Linked DNA regions of Mus musculus: region 1 is reported to be linked to region 2. The links are microRNA targets in miRTarBase. Many come from high-throughput screens and were not tested one by one. Region 2 holds a microRNA gene; the other region holds the end of a gene's coding sequence.

Region 1 (4,386 bases), not on the chromosome of region 2:
TCTTCCACTCAGACCCTGGGTTTCTTCCCTTCCTTTTTCTCTTCTTCTTTCTTTTATTCCATTCCTTTTTCTTTGAAACTAAAGTCTCCTTTCAATGGAGTGACCAGTTCAGGGTGATTGAGGCTGAGCAAGGCCATGCAGGAAGCTAAGGGAAGTCTGTATAAGCAGGAGATGAGACAGTGCAATGCGAAAGGAGATCCATGATGCTACTTCTCCTCAGCATCCCTCCCCAAATCTCTCTCCTCCACCCTAATGTTCCTCCCCTCCTCCCCCAAAATCTTTCCTCCTCCACCCTCCTCCTTCCCAACCTGCCTTCTCTCACTACCTTTGCTGGTGGGCTTTCAAAGCTATGTCTTGTTCAGCCCGTGGGAGGTACAGGGAGCGTCTAGTCGGCTTTCTAGATTCTCAAAGAGCAACGTCCCACAGTGTCTGTCGCATGGCACACACAGAAAGCTGTGTGCTCCATCCCCATACCCTAACAAACACATCCTTGGATAATGGTTGAACTTGTTCTGCAGAATTCAGTGACGGAGGAACAAAAGCAGCCTGGGAAGCTTTGTGAAAACACACAGCTTCCCCATGCACGCAGGCATCTGTTCCCTTCACAATCAACACTGAACTGGTCGCTCAGAGCTGTAGAAACTTCAGAAAAAATCGGGGTGGGGAGCTGGAAGCCCCTCAGTACCAGTTTCCTGGGCAGGCGATTTTTTTAAAAAATCAGAACAGTGAGTGCTTTTGTTGTTGTTGTTGTTACTTTTTAATCCAGCAGTAGTAACAAGGTGATTTGGAATCTGCTCCTGACTTGAGATAGTAGTTTTATTTATTTATTTAGCCTTTTTTTTTTATCAGATCAATATCTTACTTTGCCTATTTTATTCTTAGATTTACTGACTGTTCTCAGGGAAGCAAATTCAAAGGGAAGAAATAAGCAGATTGGTGTGTATTTCAAAGCCCTGGCTGAGGTTTGACAGAAAGAATCCTTGGAAGTTCAGAGGACTAGAGTTTCCTAGGCCCTCCCTCTGACAGATGGGTTATGTTCAGAGGGTCTGTCTTTGGGAGCAGCTGAGTTATGTACTGTCAAGGGATACTTGGGCTAACCTTGGGCTCATAGACATGTCTGCTTGCCCTGGGTCCTTAATTACTCAGCTATTTACCACACACCCTAAGCAGGAAGCAGGGACCCTGTTCTTATTTCCCAGTAGTTTCCTAGCAAATTGGGCTCAGAGTGGGAAGAGGTACTTGTAAAATGCAAATATATATACATACATATATACATACATATATACATACATATATATATATACACATACATATATATATATGCTTATTATGTATGTATGGGGAGGGATATGCATGTAAGTGCAGGTGCTGAGAGATCCCCCACCCCAGCATCTGGAGTGACAGGCCATTGTGAGCCACCTGATGTGTGCTGGGAACAGAACTTACATCTTAACTGCTGAGCTATCTCTTCAGTGCTACCAAATTCTTGCTTTAAATAACATCAGCCCTCTCATGGGAACATTTGCTATGATGCTCAGCTTCTCATAAAAAGGAGTAAGTAACATCCTAAAGGTTCCCCAGGCCTGTTTCTTTGCTTTATCAATAAAGAGTCAGAGTCTTGTGAATTTTAGGTGCTTGTCAGACTATAGATTCGATGTGATAGTGGGAGCCAGAATGTAAGCTCCGGGTATGCAAATGAGTGTCCAGTCAGCTAATGCCCCATTCTCAGTGGGGGCTGAGCAGCACTGCTTCTGTGGGGCCTCATCATTCCTGGCCAGTCACACTGCAGCTCAGTGCTACAAAAGCGGAGGGTGTGCCCCTGTCTGTACATGGCATGAGTTTTTGAGATTTTGGTGTTTGGGGACAATTTGTTTTCCTAAGTTAAGGTGGAAGGGGCTTCCAAAAGTGTTTGAAAAGAAGCAGAGATGCTGATATAGATGGAGGTTGTATACCTTTTGGGACATACATTTATATATCGTCTACTTTCTACACACACACACACACACACACACACACACACACACACACACACACTGTACTGTGATTTCATTTGTCATACTTTAGAAGTAGCCGTGTTTATGTAAGCCAGAATGTAATGGGCATTCATATGGATGTCTGGATACTCAGTGCCTCACGCACAGGGGCAGGGCTTAGTAGTACCTCTTCTCCATGACTACCTGTCCCTGATTTTACTTCTCCTGAAACTGGATGCAAAATCAGCATCACAAAATGTATTTGTTTAGGCAAAATGAAACAACTTCCATTTGACTTCACAATATCACTGTGTCTTCTCACATAGTTCAGTAGTCGTTTATAAAAACAGCTACCGTTTCCCTCTACTATGGCTATACCTTATGGGCTCATCTAGAAACAAAAAGACAAAACCAGGGTTATGGCCAACGTGAGATATTTTCTGGATACACGAGCAACAATGAAAACATTTTGAAAATTAACAGGCAGCCGTAAGTATAAATACACTGTCGAAAGCATTTAACGCTTTTTAACATAGCCAAGTCCCCTGAGCTTGAAGCAGCATTAAATTCTCCTTTGCCAGTGGCAAAAAGAAGCCGACAAGCACAGAGCTGAAAGATTGGTACCGTTTCTCGGCCAGTAAGCAACAGAACCAAGGGGCTTAATATTTTATGGGTTTTTATTTATTTATTTTTGTTCTCATGCTGTTTCTCTCCCCGTCTCCTTTTCTCTCCTGTTCTTGCCTGCCAGGACTGATTGTGGTGACGTTGGCCGTGTGTTGGATGCCCAATCAGATCCGACGGATCATGGCTGCAGCAAAACCCAAACATGACTGGACCAGAACGTACTTCAGGGCATACATGATCCTCCTGCCCTTCTCTGATACCTTCTTCTACCTCAGCTCTGTGGTCAACCCTCTCCTCTACAACGTGTCCTCTCAGCAGTTCCGGAAGGTGTTCTGGCAGGTGCTCTGCTGCCGCCTGACTCTGCAGCATGCCAACCAAGAGAAACGCCAGCGTGCCCGCTTCATCTCCACCAAGGACAGCACCAGCTCAGCCCGCAGCCCCCTCATCTTCCTAGCCTCCCGGCGCAGTAACTCTTCCTCCAGGAGAACTAACAAGGTTTTCTTAAGCACTTTTCAGACTGAGGCCAAGCCTGGAGAGGCTAAGCCCCAGCCCTTGAGTCCTGAGTCACCACAGACTGGCTCAGAGACCAAACCAGCTGGGTCCACCCCAGAAAATAGTTTACAGGAGCAGGAAGTATGAATGGCAAGTTCAGAAGCCTTGAGCCGAAACTGGCTCTCCCCTCCCGCAAAAGCAAAGTTACCTTCACGCAGCAGCAGTCTCTGAATAGACTGTGACTCCTACTGGGACAGAATGGAAGCTCAAGGCTTTGGGAAAGGCAGATGCGTATCTCAATGACTTCTAAGGGCTGGTTCTTCCAGGCTAGCCTTGGCGGTGGTTAACCAGATTGGGATGGGAGGGTCTGGACTTTCTGCTCCATGCTTTTTTCTTCAACTACACACAGAAATTCAGAATGAATTGGTTCAGAGCTTACAAAAGTATTTGTGCACGGCAATCTTGCGTTACTTGAAAGGAGGGAACAAAAAGACTCCCTTGTCTACCCAGAATAAAAGGACACCCAGAAGAGACTCGGGAAGGTGAGAGACGAAGGGCCAGACAGGTGAGGCAGCAGGGGTTGGCATCTCCTTTAGCTTCAGCAGTGTGCCAAGCAGAGGGCTAAGTGGAAGAACAGGAGAGTGGTGAGAAGCCCTGGCCTGATGGCCGAGGCAGAGCTGCCTCTCTTCTTGGGCCTCGGCCCATTGCAAAGAGGGGTGTTGCAGCAGCTGATGCACACGGAGTTCAGTTTCCCAGGGGAACAGAAGGACTGGTACCCAGCTGAAGCAATGAGACAGGCTGCTGACGATGCACACGACTTCCGGTACATGATCCCTATAACACAGGCCCAGAGAAGTGGGGTTAGCATATGTGATCTGCAGTCCAGCTATCTCTTTGTGCCCAAATCTGAGTGCATAACCTTTCCTTAACTCCTCCCACAGAAAGGGCTCTTATCTCCTGATCTGGGAGATGGTTCAGGGGATAAGAATTCTCAGACTTATTGGAGTCTGGGAGTTCTTTTGGGTGGGCATGGAGGTCACCAAACACACAGAACTTATGGTGAATGTTGTTCCAACAGAGATTTTAGTTGCTGGTGTCCATGAATAAAGAGCTATTAAAATCAAAGTCTCCCCTCACCACTCTGTGTGTGCAATGCATGTGTATATGTTCATACATGCAATGTATGTATATATGTTCATGTATGCAATGTATGTGTATATGTGAGTGCAGTATCCTCAGATTCCAGAAGAGGGAATTGGATTCGTTTGGAATTGGAGTTACAGGCAGTTGTGAGCTG
Region 2 (4,386 bases):
TCCAGCAGAAGGGCTACAAGAATAGACCGTCTAGGAGAAATCTCTTGGTTCAGTTTGTCTGAGGTCAGGGCTAGGGATGAGAATAGGAAGGCATCAGGGGAGTTGGCAGAGCCTGGATGCCAGGGTGAGGAATATGGCTTCATCCTGAGGGTACCAGGTAGATGGGTCTTAGGTAGGTGGGTCATGGGATCCACGGCTCACATCTAACAGTCTGGTTTGTAGACCGAGAGTCTTGATGAATCGAAGACTGGCTGGGGAAGGAATGGGACAGAATGGAGGAGGGGGTGACTGCATCTGGCCTGGGGAGATAACGCAGAAACCCCAGGTTTGGGAGAGGACGCTTGTGGCTCGGTACCTGTGGTCACTGGGTGGCTTTGTGGTACACACGAGGAACTGATGCTAGTTAATTAAATTAAATACACCCATATACTGCCAGGAAGCAACAGCCCAAAGATGCAGAGTCCTAGGGAAGAGACCTGTAAGAATCAAGGCCACTCTGACCTTGTGGTTTCAGGTTAGGGGACTGAACTGTGTTGAGATCCAGAAGGACTCACTCCACTTGTGCAGGGACTTGGATGGATAAATGAAGGCTCCAGAGATGATGTGGCCGGAGCAAAGGCAGGAGGGGGAACAGGCAGGCCTGAGGAACTGGCACCAAATGGCAATGCCAGGGAGTTAGAGGCCAAGGAGCCTGCCTGGTAGAGCCATCTCTGTTCGGCTCTTTCAGGGTTGTGCCAATGACCTACATGCTGCTGGTCCTGGTCAGAGACATAGAGACCTTATAGAGAGCCCACTGCTGCACTGTGCTACTCTCAGAGCGTAGAGATATACACAGTCTACTCCACACTGTGTGACCTGGCACTATGCCCGTGCCTCAGGAGTCCTGTTCATCAGTTCAGATCTCGGTGCACACCTTAAAATGCAGCCAGAAAGACAGCAAGAAAAGAAGCAGCGCACACACTGGATTAGCTAACTGTCATTAACCGCTGTCGTCAGTGCCTGTCCAGAACTAACCATCAGCCAGGGCAGGGGGTGCTGAAGCCCCTCCATGCCTCCTGGAGGAAGTGGCAGTGAAGAGAGACAAGGAGAAGCAGAAAGCAGAAGGTACCCTTTTATTGGCATTTTAACAATGGCAGCACGAGAGAGCCTCCTCCCTTGAAACATGACATCCTCTCTGCTCTTGGGGCCCAGCGCAAGAATGAGACCCCGCCCTGCGTGCCCCTCAGAAGGCAGGGTGGGGAGGGGACACGGGTACTCTATGCCAGGGGAGCCGGGACAGAAGGGAAGACGTGCACCCTCACCTCTTGGTATGATCCTTCTCCCCTGAGACCTGGTGTTGGTCCCTGACCCTGGGATGGGGCTGGCAGACAGGGCTCATGCAACAGTGAGTGGACAGAAGGTGGCACAGAAATGCAGCCCTGTCGCCCCTTGGCAAGGGCAAAAGGGATAAAGGGGGCCATGCTGTGGCCATAGAGGGTCCAGACGTTAAGTATTTGCAGTGTACATACAAGAGGGCGAGAGGGACTCCCTCTGCACCAGGCCAGGCCTGGGGACCAGAGAGAGGGAAGCACAGATGGCATTGTCATGCCAGGGGCATGGGTCTGAGCCAACCATGCCACCTGAGCTGGGGCTTGTTCTACTCCTTGGCACGGCCAATGATGGTGAGAATATATAGGAAGATGTTGATGATGTCCGTGTACAGGTTCAGGGCCGCAAACACATATTCTTCTGGGCTCAGGGACAGCTGCTTGTTCCCCAGGAGTAGCTGGGTGTCCACTGCCAGGAACTAGCGGGTAAAGACACAGTTGGTCGGTATTCGACAGCTTATTCACTCATCCCGGCCGGCATCCCAGGAAAGGCCTTCCCAACACCCTCACTCACGCAGGTGAAGAGCAGAGCGCCCAGCGAGGCGTATACAATCTCCAGGATGCGGTTCCGGATGAAGATGCAGAGGATGGCGAAGATGAAGAGCACCACAACACTCACCAGGAGCACGCCCATGCACGAGGTGAAGTCATAGCGGGTCTGGGAGGGAAGGAGAGAGGTGAGACTGTGGGTGTTGAGGGCTCTGGGGCAACCGTCCTGTCTTAGGTCCCCCTCACCTGCATGGAGAAGATGACCACCGTGAAGCAGACAGCTGTGGTGATGCCCACGGCCATGATGACTGCCTCCGTGTTGTAAAAGCTGGCTATCATGCCCACCATGTAGGACAAGCTGACGGTCAGGATCGACTGCGGAAGAGGATCACAGGGGGGGCCTTGGGTGTGGGGAGCTGCTCTTGGTCCAACCCTGTCCAACCTCCCTGTCCTGTCCCACAGGCCTAGGTGAACTGGGCTCAGGGATTGAGAGTTACCAGAGCAACAAGGTTCCAGGGATGCTTTCGCCGGAAGTCCCCACAACAGCTGAGAACAATGAGGGAGATGAAGAAGATGGCGTAGGAGACATAGTAGGTCCAGACATTCTCCCGGACAAAGCCCTTCACCTCCCCAACAAAAGTGAAAATGGCCACAGTGGACAGGGTCACCGACAGCTGCAGGGTCAGCACCAGGAACACCTGGGGAAGGAGCCAATCAGAGCCCCGCCTTGGCGGCCTCCTTGTGGCTCCTCCCACACCACACATATGCCAGGCCCAACCTTTCTGATAAAGGCCTGGCGAATGTTCTTGTCCCAGTTGACAGCAGGGAAGTCCTGGTTGTCATAGTAGGATGGAGGCCCTTCCTCCTGGTAGTTCCCATGCTGAGGTGCTGGGGACATAGAGGCTGGGTCAGTGTCCCCTGAGGGCACTTGAATCCCTGCCCCTGCCCCTTACCCTTCCCTACACTTACAGCCAGGGTCCTGGAAGGGTGGTGGCTGTCCATAGGGGTTGGGCGGGAAGGGGCTCTGTGGGTATGGCCCCTGTGGGTAGCCTCCTTGAGGGTAGGGCCCTTGAGGGTAACCACCCTGTGGATAGGGGCTGGGACCATGGGGATATCCTGGCTGACCATAGGGAGAGGGCTGGAAAGGGGCCTGTGGGTATGGGGCCCCAGGGTAGGGAGCCTGAACATAGGGAGGCATAGGGGCTTGGGGCCCCACAATGTTTTGGGGAGGATAACTGTCCCCAGACACCAAGAAACTCTTTTCATGGGACATGGCCTCGGGTTCTGTGGCTGCCCCTAGAGGAGAAAGAGAGAACAGTTAGCTCTGAGAGACTGAAACCAGTGACAGCCATACCTGCTGCGGACCAAGGAAGAAAACAACAACAACAACAAAAACAACTGGCCATGACCTTTGTACAGGGCTGTAGGGAGTCACAGAACAAGGAGGCGTTGGGTGGGGCACGGGAGACCGATGTGGACCCCTTGGAAGGGGCTCCTCTAGCTCGACCTGGGGTGGGGGATGGGAGGAAGAGTGATGGCTGTCAGCCTCAGCTTGGAGCTTGGGAGATGCCTTCTCACCGCTGCGGGTCTTTCGGGTCAGAGCTCAGCAACGAAGAGTCTAGAGGCACAGCGCAGTGGCTAAAGAGGTGTGGGGGTGTGCCCTGGCTCTCCCCGTCCTATCCCTCCTATTAAGCAGCTTGAAGGGGCCAGCGCTAGCGGCTATTTCTATCCGAGGAAATCCCCAGGCCATCTGTGACCAGCGGGAACCCTGACCCTCCTCTTAAGCACAGGGCTGAATGTCCCTAGCTCCGGGTACTGAATGCAGGCCTGTATTGGCTGCTAAGGTGTCTGCTAGTAGGGTACGCCAGGAACAGAGGGGTGCGGGGGTGTGTGGGGGATGGAAGCGACCAGAGGGCGTTCAAGGGAACAAAGCAGGGATGGGGACGACGGAGGAGGGGGCGGTGGCCACAGAATGCGCCCCGAGGGTGGATTGGTCGTCTTGTCGGGTTGGGGGTCGCTGGGCTTCGGGTCTGGGCCGCTACAGAGCGCCGCCCTCTCCCTCTTGCTCAGGGCCGCCAGAGCTCCCCACCCCCAATGATGCCACCAGTCTGGGTGAGCGGGCCGCGAGTCCTGACCGAACCAACTGACCCGAGGCGGTCGCGCTCAGTAACACAGGGAAGGGACGGCCGACTGACAGGGGGGCTACGGCGGCGGTACACTCTTGGGATTGGTCGGGGGGGACTCACCGCTCCCGGGAGCCAGAGACCGGTGCTTACGGTGCCCGCTGCGCAGCCGCGCGCGGTGATGGCCGGTGCGTCCGCACCTGCACCCGCTGGGCGGCCGGATTGCTTGGGCCTGCGCCTGCCGCTGGGGAGACGCAGAAGAGCCTTGTGACTGGGCGGGCCTTATGATGGGGCGGGGCCTTGTGATGGGGCGGGGCCTTGTGGTGGGGTGGGGTCTTGGGCGGGGCGGGGCGGGGCGGGGCCTTGATGTAAGGCGAATGTTGTCACCTGTCCCGGAGCTTCTGAGC

The links. Region 2 holds the annotated microRNA mmu-miR-6953-5p (AAGGGGCAGGGGCAGGGAUUCAAGUG, at 2,782-2,807, opposite strand). A microRNA usually pairs through its seed, bases 2 to 8, with sites in the 3' UTR of a target mRNA and lowers its output. Matches are read on the target gene's strand: a 7mer-m8 pairs with bases 2 to 8, a 7mer-A1 pairs with bases 2 to 7 and ends in A, and an 8mer does both.
Region 1: the mRNA of Lypd1 is a reported target of mmu-miR-6953-5p. Seed matches in the 3' UTR shown: 7mer-m8 at 2,140-2,146.

What each region holds. Positions count from the first base shown.
Region 1 is chr1:125,869,649-125,874,034 of GRCm38, forward strand. Lypd1 (Ly6/Plaur domain containing 1) reads right to left here. Exons shown (of 3, transcript NM_145100.4): 3 at 1-3,923. The coding sequence ends at 3,688. It overlaps Gpr39 (G protein-coupled receptor 39), which reads left to right. Exons shown (of 2, transcript NM_027677.2): 2 at 2,722-4,214. The coding sequence ends at 3,236. Among named protein-coding and RNA genes, the nearest start is that of Gm41943, 30 kb to the left of the region's middle.
Region 2 is chr15:76,246,617-76,251,002 of GRCm38, reverse strand. It overlaps Mir6953 (microRNA 6953), which reads right to left and starts at 2,812; the gene lies at 2,745-2,812. Grina (glutamate receptor, ionotropic, N-methyl D-aspartate-associated protein 1 (glutamate binding)) reads right to left here and starts at 4,196. Exons shown (of 7, transcript NM_023168.3): 1 at 4,103-4,196; 2 at 2,826-3,152; 3 at 2,635-2,744; 4 at 2,354-2,554; 5 at 2,103-2,231; 6 at 1,882-2,025; 7 at 1,099-1,786. The coding sequence starts at 3,129. The coding sequence ends at 1,637.